Diceros bicornis minor: one gene and its partner. The protein of the gene in region 1 binds, or shares a complex with, the protein of each later gene. Links are inferred from orthologs where the notes say so. Each region holds a gene or a part of one and is shown in the gene's direction. Other genes may lie near its edges.

Region 1 (8,052 bases):
TAAATTCTGATTTTTGCACTTACTGGCTATGTGATCCTTAAGCAAGTTATTTAACATCTCTAGGCCTCAGATTAGCCATGGATACAATAAGAATGACATAGATAATATATATATAAAGAACCTAACATAGTGTCTGGCACACCATACGCATTTTAGAAATACCTATACTTGATACCTCTAGTCTCTTAATCCAACTCCCTTGCCCTCCAGTGACTCAGTCATTCTCCCTCTTCCTCCTCCGTCCAGTGTAAATCCATTTCAACGATATTTTCACTCAAGCTTCACTTCCTTCATTCCTTAGCCACATCCCCAACTCAATCCACAATCCTAGATCAACCCAAACTTGTTCTCTGATCCAGCCGAGTCTACCAAATCTTGTTGGAGGAAATCATTTCACTATTGAGATTATCAGCCTTATAAATAAGTAGCCTCCAGGTTCATCTGATTGACCTCCAGACAACTTGGTAAGCCTTTGACAGTACCTCTTTGGCTACTCTTTTCATTTTTGATGGTACCTGTCCTAACTGCAGTGTCCTCACCAGGCCCTCACCTCACTTCTGTATCAGCAGATGACTTTATCTCCTGGGATGAATTCATTGAACTTCCCTTTCTTACGTCTCCAAGTATATATTTTTTATTTACAGGGGTTCCTAAATACCAGTATTTGCACCAGTGTAAGGCTACTTTAGAAGCACTTGATTACTATGAAAAAATACATCTACCTAAATCTGACCCCAGTTTACTGGATGGAAATCTTTAGTAATGGGAATGGTGGAATCTGGATTCGATTAAAGCTCCTCAGGAGATTTTGTGACCTAAGTTTGGGAGACACCACCAAGAAAGTTGTGGATACCTTTGCTCATAACCTCTGATTGCTTTTTCGTGCTGTTTGATATTAATCTGGCTGCCCCTATTTCTTCCCAGCAGTTGACATGTAGGCTGCACTTTTTAGAGCTCTTCAATGAGTTGTTCGAGTATCTGTCTTCCCTGTGGTCATCACACTTAATCTCTCCTTGCTGTAATTGTTAACACACTTCCGCTGGTGCCTTGCAAACTTTGAGAGTAGCTAGAACAGCTCCTTTGCTGTGTCCTGGCTGTGCTCCAAGACTTCATTCTTGGTCATTTTGTCTGACCATTTAATGCAAACTGTAGATCATAGATGATACTGGTGGAAGAGTTCAAGCAGCCAGAAGTGTAAATCTGAGGAAGATGGAAGTCTCGCAGCTATATAATTGTTTGAACATGAACATTGCTCTGTAAAACTTTTAATTTGATTCAAACTTTATTTTCCACTGGGCATAACATTTAGCATTCCAAAGAACAAAAGGGCTTTGAAAGCGATTTTTAAATTTTTTCTTCTGTTAGTGTGTTGTATATATAATTTATAGTTGGTTTCTTATGCCTCACTTATCTTTTTGGTGGTTCTCAAAAGCTTAAAATGTCACCAATAGAAACAAATATTTCTGTGAAAATAGCTAAATGATTAAAAATCAGCATATAATCAGCAGATCAATATATATGCAAATATATATATTTGTATAGTATTATATTTATATCTCTAATATATACTATTTATATACAAGTATATGTTAATATAAATATTAATGTTGTATATAATAAGAATTTAATCAAAATTAAATATGTATGAAAGTAGAATCTCAAGTATTCAGTCTCCTAGTGGAATTATAATAAATAATCATAGACTCATGGAAATAATGGATTAAGAAGCATCTAGAAAAAGATTAAAAAATCAGAGAACCTTGATTAAGTCTCAGTTGAGCCTCTTCCTTCCTGTGTGGCCACAATCAGGTTACTGAACATTTCAGAGCCTTAGCTTCTTCATCTTCAAAATGTTCTTTCAGAAGGTTGTTGTAAAGATTAAATAGAATAAATGATAAATGGTAATACGTTATAAGATATATTCATTGTTCTTGCTAAAGTCAAAGGGCAGTATAAAATTTTGAGATAGCTTCTAAATTCTCTAAGAAAGAATAAGTTATTTAGCACTTTAGTTAATTCATGAGGGTAACCACCCACTTCTATCCATGTTAGTATCCTTGGAAGATTGTCGTATAGTAATCCCTTAAATCTTACTGAATACAATGAGGTATATTTTTTTGAGTTCTTTATTTCTTAAGTTGGCAATTCATGTGCATAGATGTTTTGTGTTTTTCTAATAACCAGAACATTTGTTTAGACAGAATTTTTTTCTCAACAGTGCCATCTGTTCTTTTTCTTTATTAAATAAAGGCGACTTTTCATATTTTTCCCAACATATTGGACATTTAAAATTTTAGTATATGATTTCATTTTTATTTGGGATAATTATGGTTAATAATAGCTACGTTTGCTGAGCTCTTGCATTGTGAGAGATACAATGCAAACCATTTTACATGTATTAACATATTTAATCCTCACAACAATGTTATGAGGTAGTTAATGTTATCTTCATTTACAGATGAAAAAATTAAAGCACAAAGTAGGTATCTTTCCCTAAAATCATCCTTTAAGAGACAGAATGGGAGTTTGAGCCCAGGCGTCTGATTCCAGAACCTAGACTCATCACATTGAAAGCATGCTACATTGCTAACATTGCCTGATCTCTTGCATATCTGCTTGTGAACATCCCCAGGATGCAACCTTTGGGCACCATGATTCCTAGGGGGTTGACTTGGGGATCTTTGACGCCAATAGCAACCATATAAGTGAAACTTTCCTGGATCCCTGGAAGTACTTTCTAACCTGTTTTTCAGTTTTTCTGACATTCTCTCAAATAGAGTTACATGGAAATCAAGTAGACTATTTTCGTTTTCACATATTTGATAGATATATAAAAGGAAAAATAATAGCCTATCCAAGAGAGTGGTTTACACATAGATTTCCAACCAGGATAAATTGTTATTCCTCATCAGAGTGCAGTCACTCACGATAAGTAAAAATTGGTTTTTAAAATTATATCACAATTTTATCTAGACATTTGCATATGCAGGTTATGTTTGTTGTATTTTGCTATCTTGAGCTTATAAATACCAGGGAATAATTATAAGTTCATTTAAGTTGTTATTAGATCATCATGGAAATTAATGCGTTTGCTGAAACATAATCAAAATTGTGCGTTGAATTTATTTGAGAGTCAGAAACTAGAAAATTTTATATAACTTAATTTGCACAGCTCTTCCTCATAGTGAAACTGTAGGGACAGTCCTGGAAGCTTAATTTCCCCCCATATATAGTGTTAAAGCAAATTATGTCTTCAACTCTTCAGTTTTTCACTTGGTTTCTTGTCATTGTATTATCATAACTTTGAGAGAAATAACTCTTTTTCTCACTTGAAATGAGCTTCAAGTGAAACTAAGCTTAAAGTTATCTTCATTGCTCATTGAGAAAGATTTTTATACACACAAGTGTGGGGACATGAGTGTACACACACACACACACACACACACACACACACAAGTAAAGCAGCCCCTACGTATGAATATATTGATTTCAGGAAGTATATTTGTAAAAGTGTTTCTAAGAACCAGTGACAGCTTCCCATAGGAAGAGTATGTTACTATTCCAGTACTAAAGGCTATTTATGTCATATTTTACACCATTTTAAATATTGCTTTTATTGGATTATCCTTCCTCAGTTTCCTCTCTAGACACCAGAAACAAAATCCTCTGCACCACTAATGTTAGGAGACCCTCTACCACCATAAGGGTAATAATCATACTGTTTTCCATGGTATATATGCTATCAGCCAGCACAGTTGTCAATACCAGTGATGTCCCATTAGAATAATTATGTAGATGTTCAGAAGCTATGTTTATATTTTCAAAGTGATCAATCAATATCATGGTTTTGTTCTGAATTTTTAAATTCTGAACACTCAACAGTTTTTCAATGTTATCAAAATGAGTAGATTGTGCATTGGTGGCACGAAACTGTAAGGTTTACTGAAACCAAAAAATACTGACCATAAGGTATGTGCTGTTAAATATGCTAACCCAAGTTGCATGTGATGCATTTATTATTATTTTGTGGTTGTCAGCATTGCCAAGTCGCTAGCAACAGAGAAGTACACTTTGTATCAACCACTTTTTCAAGAAGTCACAATTATTAGAATTAGAAAACCCGTCCAAATTTAGTCATTAGCATGGAAGGACAGCAGCAATTCCATTCCTTGAAAACTGATATTCAGAGTGTTATTGAAATATATATTCCTTCTTCTGAAGGGTGACCTGATTTTTGATAAATTTGTTTGCTTTAAAAATAATCACTCTTTAGTCAATAGGTCTCCGCCTTAGTCAGCTGAGGCTGCTATAACAAAATACCACAGACTGGGTGGCTTAAACAGCAGACATTTATTTCTCACAGTTCTGGAGGCTGGGAAGTCTAAAATCAAGGTACCAGAAGATTCACTTCCTGGCGAGAGCCCTCTTCCTGGTTTGCTGATAACCACCTTCTCACTGTGTCCTCATATGGCAGAGAGAAAGAGAGAGAGAGATGGTGCACCCATGAGATCTGGTCTCTCTTCCTCTTGTGAGGACACTAATCCCATCAAGGGCTCTCCACCCTTTGGACCTCATCTAAACCTAATGACCTCCCAACAGTTTCACCACCAAATACCATTACATTAGGGGTCAGGGCTTCAACATATGAATGGTGGGGGGTTTGGGCAGGACATAAACATTCAGTCCATCACAGTCTTAATTGGAGGATGTGCATATGAGTTTTGTCCACATGTGTTCTTACATTTTTAAAATTGGAATGCCTAGGAAAAGTCAAGCACTGTCTGGTTTACCACAGTCCCTGCTACTTCCTACTCTCTTACTCCCTGCTAGATACTCTCAATGGCATTGTCCACCAAGCCTCTGTAGGTGCTTGAATTATTGACTCTTGATTTAGACCATTTAACTCGTCAAAATTTATGAAGATTTTGGTATTAAAATACTCTTTTGATTTTCTCTTATAGGATGGAGAATCTAATAAGGGGAAGGAATCCCCCACAATATCAGAGAAGTCCTTGTAAAGAAGTTCGCGCAGCACTTCGGAAGAGGCCTGAAGAGGAGTGTAAGTATGTTTAATAGGAGTAACTATGTTCTAGATAGATTTTGGTGAGTAGCATGATAAAACTAAAGAGTTAACCTTTATGTGATTAGTCAAATCATAGGGGTACTTAATAAATATTTTTTGAATCTAGTTGAATTTATTTTCAAACGCACATTATCACCTGCTATCTGGATTCAAGCATGAAGAACACTGTTTTCTTCATTTCTTCATAAGCATTCCTCTTATACTTTAAGATGCTCTACTGATGATTGGGTTCCGTGTTCAAATGAGATAGGGAAAGGCTGCACAATGTACCACATCTTTCTTAGATATTTGTGCCATGAATATCAATGTTTCTGAGGAGTCCTGATGTGGAAAAAACTTTAAAATGTTTTCAAAGTCAACATTTTCCAGTTCCGTTTGACCACAATGCTCTTTCAGAAATTTTTTTTTTAATTGAGGACTCTTTGAAAACCACTAAAGTCTAGCATTAGACTAAAGACTAAATATCTAGGGGTAAATATAAACCCATTGGTCAAAGTTAAACATTTGATTTAAGTGAATTTAGGAAAAGATTTTGGAAGATGGAAGTCATGTATCCCGCCACGGAGTCATTTTAGTTAATTTTCAAATTATTATCATATTAGAATATATAATTGTCTCTAGAGGTTTTATTTAAATATTTCTAGTCTGTAGCATTGTTGGAGATGTTTGACATAATACTTGCATTATAAGTGAGTTTATAAAATGACTGATAATACTAGCTTTCCTGATGTTATTTGTGTATAATTATTTTAAGGGAACTAAATTACATTCTGTTATGACAAAAATTTGTCTGAATTGTGTCTTCTTACAGGAACTTACACTTTATAAGGATAGAGCTAATGCAGTGGGTTCACTTGCATATACAGTTTAGCAAACTTTTAAGATTACATGGGCATTTTAAATTAGTTTGAAGTATACCGTTCTGGATAAAGACAAATACTTTAACGCTGAGCACACTCATGACAAGTAGAGTGTTTTTGTTTTGTTATACTTTGTTATAAGCTCGTTAGATAACCTGATTGAGTTAGCATCTGTGTCATTTAATGTAGTGTCAGTTTTCTTTTAAACGGTAGATTTATAGCTTCTGACATTATAAGCAATATCCAAATAAAACTAAAATTTGACAAAAAAGATAGAGTTCATGGGCATCGTAGAACAAAAACTATGTATAAGATGCAGATTCTTGCATAAAAGTATCACTTTTTTGCAGAGTTCATGGAAAAGCTTTGGGGTTTCTCCTCTACTCTTATGCTTATGCTTTAACACAATCAGCTTAGTCTCTGGTAGAGTTCTGCAGATTTTATTTAAAACCTTAGAAGAGAGTTTATTCATAAATCTATAGTTGATTCTCACAAAGTTGCTATTTAACATAAAGCGATTTTTCAGGCCTCTTGTACTGAGTTGGTTTAGGCCAGAGATTGACCAACTATCATCCACTGACCAAATCCAGCCTGAAACCTGTTCCTGTAAAACAAATTTTATTGAAACACAGCCATCTCCTATTTATTTAGGTATTGTGTCCGGCTGCTTTTGTACTACAAGGGAAGCATTGAGTAGTTGTGATAGACACTATATGGTCCACAAAGCCAAAAGTATTTACCCAGTTCTTTATGGAAAAAGCTTTTAAAGCCTGGTCTGGGCCCGTGGTTCTCAAAGTGTGGTCTCCAGACCACCAGTAGCAGCAGCATTTGGGAACTTGTTAGAAATGCAAACTTTAAGGGCTGGAACCCACATCTACTGAATTAAAACCTCTGAGAGTGGAGTCCAGTAATTTGTGTTTTGAAGAAGCCCTATGGGAGATTCTGATGCAAACTCAAGTTTGAAAACCACTATCCTAAGTCAAATGACTGGCTGCAGATGATATTAAATCATCCTGGATACAAAAGACTAATGATGATAGGCGTATTTCAGAGTTAAGTCTTATTGTTGTCTAATGTAAGGTTCATAATATAACTATTTGTGTTATAACAAACAAATTCTCATCAATTGCATTGTGACAGTCAGAGCAATTTTTGAAATATGACTTCAGGAACTCAGCTGGATTGCCTATGCTATTGAACATGGAATGATGCAGTGGAAAATGAGAAACCTGTAAAATGTTATTTCTCTGCCAGAATGGTCTTCATTATCCCTTGTTAGTATGATGAACAGTTGTTCTCGTCCTATTACACACCAATGTTAATTCCTTAAGAAAGAAGCCTTCTTTTTAGAATAGGAACAGCATATCATGGTGGCTAATTAAGACATGAATTTCAGACTTACACATTATTCTCTAATGTGACACTTAATGTGACCAGCTGTAGGACACTGGGTATTATTTTTTTAATCTAAGACTCAGTTTACTTGTCTGAAAAATGAGGATAATGATAGAGCATGCCTTGTAGGGTTGTTTTAAGCATTAAAGGAGATATTTATATTAAGTACTTCGTACAGACCTTGAGACATAGTTTTCTTTCTTCTCTCTTTCTTTTCACTTGTTATTATTGTTCTTTTTTGTTTCAAGCTAACCATTTGTTTGGGGATAATAAAACATGTTTCTGATCACTGAAATGAAAATCTACAGAAATTACCACCACTATTTTTAGAAGCAATAATGCCTAGCAAGGAACGGGTTGTAAACAAATGACGTAAAGCTGAAATTCTAGCAGCAGTGTTAGACAGTAATTCATGTTAGATAGTAATTTGTCTCACATAATGGCATGCTTCCCCTAGGATTCTACCAATTCAATATGAGATTTAGACCAAGACTTGTTGGTCAACTCCCATGGGAAGCTGCCACTTTAGGAAATCATCACAGAAAACCAAATGGTAGTGGCCTCCCTTAGCCGAGAATTGAAAGGAATAGTGGAACTTGATTCAGTCCAAAGGATCCTCCAAATGCAAAGAAAGCCCTCTTTCATTTGGAGACATTGCATGAGGAAGGTTTTACCAAATAGCATAATTCATACCCCTTTCTTTTATAATCTTTT
Region 2 (7,258 bases), on another chromosome or scaffold:
AGCTGGCCCGGGCCCGAGACGGGTGGAGGGTCTCTGGATGAGGAGCGACGAGGACTCAGGGTGTGGTGATGAGGGGCTCAGCCTGCTTGCTGTGGCTTCTGCTCTGCCCAGCCATCAGCGTGGCTCCCACCTACCTCCTGTGGCCCCTCCATGCCTCCCAGCTGGGGCACCTGAGTCTGGGCTCTGTGTCAGACCCCTGACTGGCAGTGCCAGGCAGATGCTTTCACCATCTATGGTGGGGAAGGGTGAGAGGCAGGGCAGACCAGAGGTAGCTCTGGCCTCTTGGGTCATAGATCTGGGGGAGTGGAGCCCAGAGATGCCAGCCAGGCCCCCTCTTTCCCCATTGGCTGGGCCAGATGGCAGCAGATCTGTCAGCCAGATGGGTTGGAGCCACGGGCAGCCCTGCCTGAGCTGGGCCCTGCCTGTGGAGTTCTGGGCAGGGATGAGCAGTCCCCCAGGAGCCAGGAGAGCACCCTAGACCTGGCTGGAGGGGCAGGGCTCTGAGCTCTACCCTGGGCCTTGGCACCATTTCCTCCTCTCACTTGGTGCCTGCTGGCTACCTTGGGACCTAGGCAAGTAGCCGTGCAGTGCCATAAAGAGGGAGGGCAGCACAGGGTAAGGGAAGGAGCACTGTTCTGGGAGTCAGGAGTTCCAGATTGTCATACTGACTCTGCCCCTGACTTGTGCGACTGCGGGAGGGCAGCATCCTCTCTCTGGGCCTCAGTCCCCCATCTGTAAGGGGCATGGGCTCTCTTAGGGCCCTTCCAGCCCTTAGGGAGGCCAAAGAACACAGGGTGGGGGTGCTGAAGTCACAGACTCTAGATGGGTAAGACACATCACATCTCTGCAAAACGGGCAACGTTGTACCTGTCCACGCACATTTGTTGTGGACAAATGTATAAATAGCGCTCAGCACAGGGCCTGGCTCTAAAGTGGAAATAACTATTTCTCATGTCCTTGGAGTGAGTGAAGGAACATCTTGTCCCCATATTTCTCAGGAGGAAGTGGAGGCCCCAGCTGGAGAAAGACCTGCTGTAAGTACTCAGAGCCGATGGCAGAACTTGAACCGGGGTCCTCCCGCTGCAGGTTGTGCTGTGCAGATGCTGGCCCAGCAGCCGTTGTCCTCTGCCCCTTGGCTCCCTGCTTCCAGTGCCTCCTGTGTGGTGCTCCCTGACCCCTGACTTCTCTCCCTTCAGGGTGCAAGCCTGGCGTTACTTATTGCAATTAGTTAACCAAATCACCCTCCACCTAGCCCCTCTGCAGGATCAGTTCTCTCTTGGCCCACTTTCCACCGATTCTGCTCCCCACGCTCACTGCCCTTAGTGGGACAGGCCTGTGGGGACCCTTCGGATGGCACGTTTTCTGTGGCGCCTGCCCAGGACCTGCAGGACCCTGGGGCACTCGGGCACGTGCATGCGAGCATGTGTGTGGGCTGTGGAAGGTGGGATTTGAGTCAGCTGTCACAATGCTACTGGGGCTGCAGTCACTCACCCACTCCCCTGCCATGGCCCAGGAACTTGGCCCTGGGCCCGTGTGTCCCTCCGTGTCTACGTGGGGTATAGCCTATGGTACAGGGCCATGCTCAGCCACCTCCAGGGCCCCCACCCCTGCCCACCAGCCTGTGGCAGGCAGGCCGGCTCTTGGGTACCACACACGTGTTGCAGATGGGGGCACACGTGCTGGCTTGCATGCCTGCCATGGCCCTAGGGAGTGGGGAGTCTGGCAGGAACAGTCCCCCTGATGCAGTCATCGCTCATTCTCTGAGCGCCACGGAGGCAGGGCTGGCTCCTCGCTGCCCGCCACCGCCAGGCACAGCTGCCAGCCTCAGCCTCGCGGGCACAGGGGAGGCAGTGAATTAGCGACCGTGCCTCTTCGGCAGGGTGGCAGTTACACCAGGATGGGGGTGCCCGTCTGAGGCAGTGCCCACACCCTGCGCTAGGTTCTCAAAGGTTCAGAGGTGTGTATGTGCGCGTGCGTTGGAGTTGCCGATGAGACCTTTTCCTCTTCTCCCTCCTCTGCGGCCATCTCTCCACCAGCAGGATCCTGCAGCCTGGGTCCTGCCCATCCTCCAGCACTGTGTGCACAGGGTCCAGGCCAGCACGCGGAGGGAGAGAAGGGTGACAGATACCAAGACAGAAAGGAAGGGAGATAGAAACAAGAATAGGGGTGAAATGGACTAGGAAGGATAGGTAGGACTGAGAAGGAAGGGCACGATGGAGGGAAGGAAGAAAACGGGGAAAAGTGAGAGAGAGGAAGGAGAGGAGAAAGGAGAGCTGAAAAGGTAGGTGGAACTCAGGGAGAAGAGAGACGGGTGACTGGGGTGATGGGTGGATGGGGCTGGGTTGGTCTTGCCCTCTGAAGCCACATAGGCCACCTTCGTGGTCCCCATCAGAGACAGGGAGAGAGCTGGCCGTCTACGCCTCCGCCCCTTCAAGTCCTCCTCTGAGTCACCGCTAGCTCTTCCTGTGACCTGATGGCCGGAGCTCCCCCCATGTGCTCTGCTCTCTTCTGAACATGCTCCATGTCATCAGTGAAGCGGTCAGTGAGCTCCAAACCAAGCAGGGCTATCACCTCCTTTGCTCAGAACATTAGATTCCCATTAATACAGCCTCTGGGCATATTTGCCTTATGTTTTACTTGTTAATTTCTAAAGCAGCGTTGTGTTGGCACCTGATGAGCTGGAGGCCTCGTGACCCCTCTCCCTGTAGCCCCAGCCCTTTGTTCCACAGGCATTTCTGCAAACCAGGTCCAGGCAAGGTGATGTTCAAACCGCAAGCTCGATTCCAGTGGGGACTCAGAGAATGTCCTGGGACTTGAAGATAGTGGTGTGTACTTCCAAAATTCAGAGAGTGGTGGGAAGAGGGAGGGATTTTTGAGTCTCTCAATAATAATAATTGAGCATTTACAGTGTGTCAGCCCCTAGCCTCTAGGGGTGTTCTGTGCTCTACCCGCTGCCCACTGGCTGTGCAGCCCCTGAGCACGGGCCTCTCTTCTCTGCCTCTGAATTGCAACGTTGGCGGCAGAAGCGGAAAGCATATTGTGCACAGAAACAAAACTGAGTGGTTTTTCCTTTTTCTGAAGGTGGTAATGGTGCAATTAGTGGCTGAGCCATTACCCCCTCTCTTGCTCGCCGCCCTTCCTCCCCCTCTGCCTCCCTCCCGTTTCTCTCCTGGGAAGAAGTGGCTGCATTGGAGAGCCAACCCCCTCATCCTCTCCCACCCCCGACTCCCAAGTAGAGGGGCAGAGTTGTGAGGGGGCCCCAGACGTCTCAGGGGCCCCTGGACCTAGGGTCGTGAGTCAGGGACCTGCTGGGTTGGGGATTACCAACAAGCAGACAAGGTGTCCAGCAAATGAGGTGAGCAATAAGGCAATTTGGAGGTTCAGAAGGGGTGGGGTTGGATCCTGGATCTTTTTATCTGATCTGTGCTCGTGGGCCACTGCTGGCACGAGACCTCAGCCTGGTGGGCTGTGAGATGAGCTTGAGTGGAGGCGGTGGGTGTGAAGGGTCTGAGATTCTAAGTCCACGCTGGAGTGATGGAGGTGGTCATCGTCCCCCTTTAGACTTTCCTTTTCCTCTTCTAGAAACGAAAAAGAGGCCTGTGTTTACGTACAAAGGCCTCCACAGCCCTTAGCCCACTCTATCTTCACAGCCTTCCTCTGCAGCGGCAGCTTTGTTCTGTTTTGTAGAAAAGGAGCTGGAGGCTCAGAGAAGGGCAGTGACTTTCCCAGGGTCACACAGCTAAAAAATGTCAGAGCTAGAATTGAACTCGGATCCTTAAACTCCAGTCCTTCTCCTTCTCAACCGTTCAGGCCTTGGAGTGAGATCTTGGGGCCATAGATATGGCAGCTGCCCTGAAGAGTTGAAGTTGGCAGGGAAAGTGTCCACAAAATTTGGGAATGCGGATTTCAGGGCAGGTCTGTGGCCACTCCCCTCCATGCCAGGCCGTGCTTCCCTCCCCACGGCCGCCTCCAGCTCTTTCACCTTGACTCGAAGCACAAGCAGAAACTGGGACATGAGCCACAGGAGACCAGATCTCCCTGGTCCCTCTGGAGGCCTGGGGTGGGGGCGAGGTTACGGAAGAGGCCCCAGGAGGCCACCAACTGTCACAGCCGTGAGGGGTGGGGGTGGGCGGGCAGCTAGGGCTGTTCCCTGCAGAATCCTGGTGTCTCCTCTGCACTTCTCCCCCAAGCTAGAGTCTCAGTGTGATGGACAAGATGGCAAAGAGCAGAGAGAGTGAGAGCAAAATAAAGACAGAGGTGGAGGCAAAAAAAAAAAAAACAAAAATATACGGAGAGGAGCAGAGAGACAGTTACAGAGACTGCAGTGATCCACTTAGAGAGAGAGATCCCAATGAATTAGCTATAGGTTCCCTGTAAACCTTAGAACCCAGCTGTTGTCAGGGCAACGGGGCAATACCTGTCTCTCCAGAGGAGAAGAAGTTGCCAGGGTAACTGCATCCTGTCTTTTCTGGGGACCATCCCGGAATGTGGCAGCCACTGGCTGTTACCATGGCAACTGCCTTTTTGCCCCACTTAATCCCATCCTGTCTGCTACAAGGGCCCCACAGTTGGAGGTGGGGGAGGTGGGGAGAGAGAAGATCACTTGTGGACTAAGTTTGTTCTCCTCCCCCTCCTCCAGCCCCTCCCTTGGTCCATCACCTTGGGGGAGCTGGGTCCATCCACCCCCAGACACACACAGGTCTGCAGTATTGTGTGCAGTAGGGCCAGGGCGTCCAGGAGCAGGTTTCGCAGTGGAAGGCAGGCAGGTGTTGGGGAGGCAGTTACCGGGGCAACGGGAACAGGGCGTTTCGGAGGTGGTTGCCATGGGGACCTGGATGCTGACGAAGGCTCGCGAGGCTGTGAGCAGCCACAGTGCCCTGTTCAGAAGCCCCGGGCTCGTCAGTCAAGCTGGTTCTCAGTTTGCACTCGGCAGCAGGGGCAGGCGAGTGGCCCCTAGTTCCGGGAGCAGAGCAGCAGCGACCCAGTCCTGGTCCTCCACCCCCGAGCCTCGCCTGCCCTCCCAGCGCCGGGATGGCCACCATCACCTGCACCCGCTTCACGGAAGAGTACCAGCTCTTCGAGGAACTGGGAAAGTGAGTTGCACCTCAGAGAGTCCCAGAGGGTGCAGGGGGTCAGCGTCATGAGCGGGGAGTGTGCACCTGCAATGCTTCCTGTGCACACACAGGGAGGAAGGCTGCGTGTGTTTGGGGGCACTTGCATGTGCGGGGTGCCCAGTGCCGGGTGTGGGCATGTTTGCGGGTGCACCAATGTGCCGAGGCCAGCCAGGCATGTGTATATAGGGGCAAAGGGTTGACAATGCATGTCAGTGTGCTCATGCACACACACATGAGTGCACATCACCTGGGCACACACGAATTCTTAGAAACTCAGGGTTAAAAAGAGATCTTCCCAATCAGCTGAGTCCAAGGCTGGAATCCCCTGTCGAGTTTCTCTTGAGGTGGCCATCTGGCCTCAACTTGGATATGTCTGGTGACAGAGTTCACTACCTCCCAGGTAGTCCTTCCTGACTTTAGACACCTGCAGCGGCTGCGCAGAGTGGCCAACTCTCCCTGTAAGCACGTCCCCTTGCCTCCCTCCTCCTCCTCCCAGCTCCTCTGGAAGTGAGGGCATCAGTACAGCAGGGGTTAATAACTGAGCAACTGATGAGGCTTCCTGGGCCTGTGGAGGAGGGGAGGGGCAATCTGGCTAGTTGGAGGGGGCACTGCTGGTGCAGGGGCTAGTGGCGTGAGGATGCACCAGCTCTGGTCCCTTGGCCAAGTTGTCCAGCCCCAGCGCTCATTTCCTGCCTCCAATGACTGGTGTGGAGAGAAGGGTGGGAGGATGGGGGAGAGGGGAGCCCCTTGGGGTAGCCCAGTCGGCTGTGGAGTGTCAGGGAAGCGTTCCTGGATGCCCCCACCAAGGTGCGTGGAGGATTCGGGCTGGATCCAGGGTAGGGGTACAGTTTCCAGGCAGAGTTTGCCCTGTGGGCAGAGCAGCTTCAGTGGCCTGGGTGGTCCCCGCTGTAGCAGCTGGAGTGCAGGGAAGAGGGGCCCTGTAAGTAGGTATGTGCTGGTGTGAGGTCTGGATGTGCACACACAAGTGTGCATTTTGATGTGTATTGTTGTATAAGGACTGACTCGGGTACACTTGTGTGCACTGAAAAGGTGTGTAAGTGTTCATGTGTGTGCACCACGAGGAGGTGCTGGTGTGTGCTTCATGTGTAAGGCCTGAAAATGCAAGTGTGCCCTGCAAGGGTGGATGTGTGTGAGTGGCACAAGGGGTGCTGTTGGCTAATTTGCATGGGAGTGAAGGTGTAAACGTGTCACAGTGTGTGCACATGTATGGCAGTTCGGAGCTGTGTGCACATCAGCTGGCAAACGTGTGTGAGGTCTGGGTGTGTGCAAATATATGTCTGTATAAGGATGCACATATATCTCTGTGGGACTTGGACACGGTGGTGTCCTGTGAGGTCTGGATACGCACATCTGTGAGGACTGGGGGCATGCACACAGGAAGATTTGTGTGTGTGCATGTGGGGCCTGGGTCCCCAGGCTCGGGTGGGAGTGTGGGTGCTGTAGGCATGTGGAGCTCATGCTGGTGTCTGCATATGTGTGGGAGGTGGGCCTGTGGCTGTGTACAAGTAGGCTGCCTGCACACACACACACACACACACGCACGCACTTGCACACCAGTCTATCCTGACATCTACAGGCACACACTAGTTCCCTTGTACAGACACACATCCATGTGCAGATGTGTGCTCACTCTTCTGCAGACTTCCTGGTCTTTCTGAGTATATTTTTGTGCTGAGGGTGGGGGGGACAGCAGGAACAAAATATTTAGGGCTGCTCTGGAGGACAGGGGCTGTCTGCTCAACTCATGTAGGGACCCGTTCTCAGCCGGTTTCCGGTGCCCACCGGAGCCGAGGATTCCCTGACGAGCTGGGAGCTGCCTTTCAGGGAGCGACCAAGGCTGGGCTCTGGCAGGACTGCGTCACAGAGTGCAGGGAAATGGAGTTGAGATGTGACTCAGGCCCTCAAAGTGAAAATAAAAGTGATATTTTGCCCCAAGAGGAGATGGATATCATTAAGACTGGGTGCTGTGGGGGCGACTTGGTAGAGAGAGCTTTCGTGAGCCTTCTCAGCCCCAGTGCCTGCCAGGGTGCCTGGCAGGGACTGGGGCAGGGGCAGAATTTCTGGGGACGGGGAGCCCTGGTGTGGCCACGGCAGGAAAACCAAGGGTGGCAGGCATGGCTAGG

The links. The genes of interacting proteins can lie anywhere in the genome.
Region 2: the proteins of LRRC7 (region 1) and CAMK2A are in contact, whole or in part, in a crystal structure (PDB 6X5G), measured with the Homo sapiens proteins. The link is inferred for Diceros bicornis minor from reciprocal best matches to the Homo sapiens genes LRRC7 and CAMK2A. Residues at the interface, in NP_001357714.1 of Homo sapiens: His843, Gly844, Arg845, Arg846, Pro847, Leu848, Ile849, Arg850, Gln851, Asp852, Arg853, Ile854, Val855; in NP_001350919.1 of Homo sapiens: Glu96, Phe98, Glu99, Ile101, Val102, Lys137, Glu139, Leu159, Phe173, Ala174, Gly175, Thr176, Pro177, Gly178, Tyr179, Leu180, Ile205, Gly209, Tyr210, Pro211, Pro212, Phe213, Trp214, Tyr222, Gln224, Pro233, Glu236.

Annotation. Positions count from the first base shown.
Region 1 is NC_080743.1:8,009,860-8,017,911, forward strand, and holds the start of LRRC7 (leucine-rich repeat-containing protein 7), read left to right. Parts: upstream 1-4,962; coding exon 4,963-5,059; intron 5,060-8,052.
Region 2 is NC_080740.1:67,297,402-67,304,659, reverse strand, and holds the start of CAMK2A (calcium/calmodulin-dependent protein kinase type II subunit alpha), read left to right. Parts: upstream 1-4,188; 5' UTR 4,189-5,031; coding exon 5,032-5,093; intron 5,094-7,258. UniProt on the Homo sapiens protein: Calcium/calmodulin-dependent protein kinase that functions autonomously after Ca(2+)/calmodulin-binding and autophosphorylation, and is involved in various processes, such as synaptic plasticity, neurotransmitter release and long-term potentiation.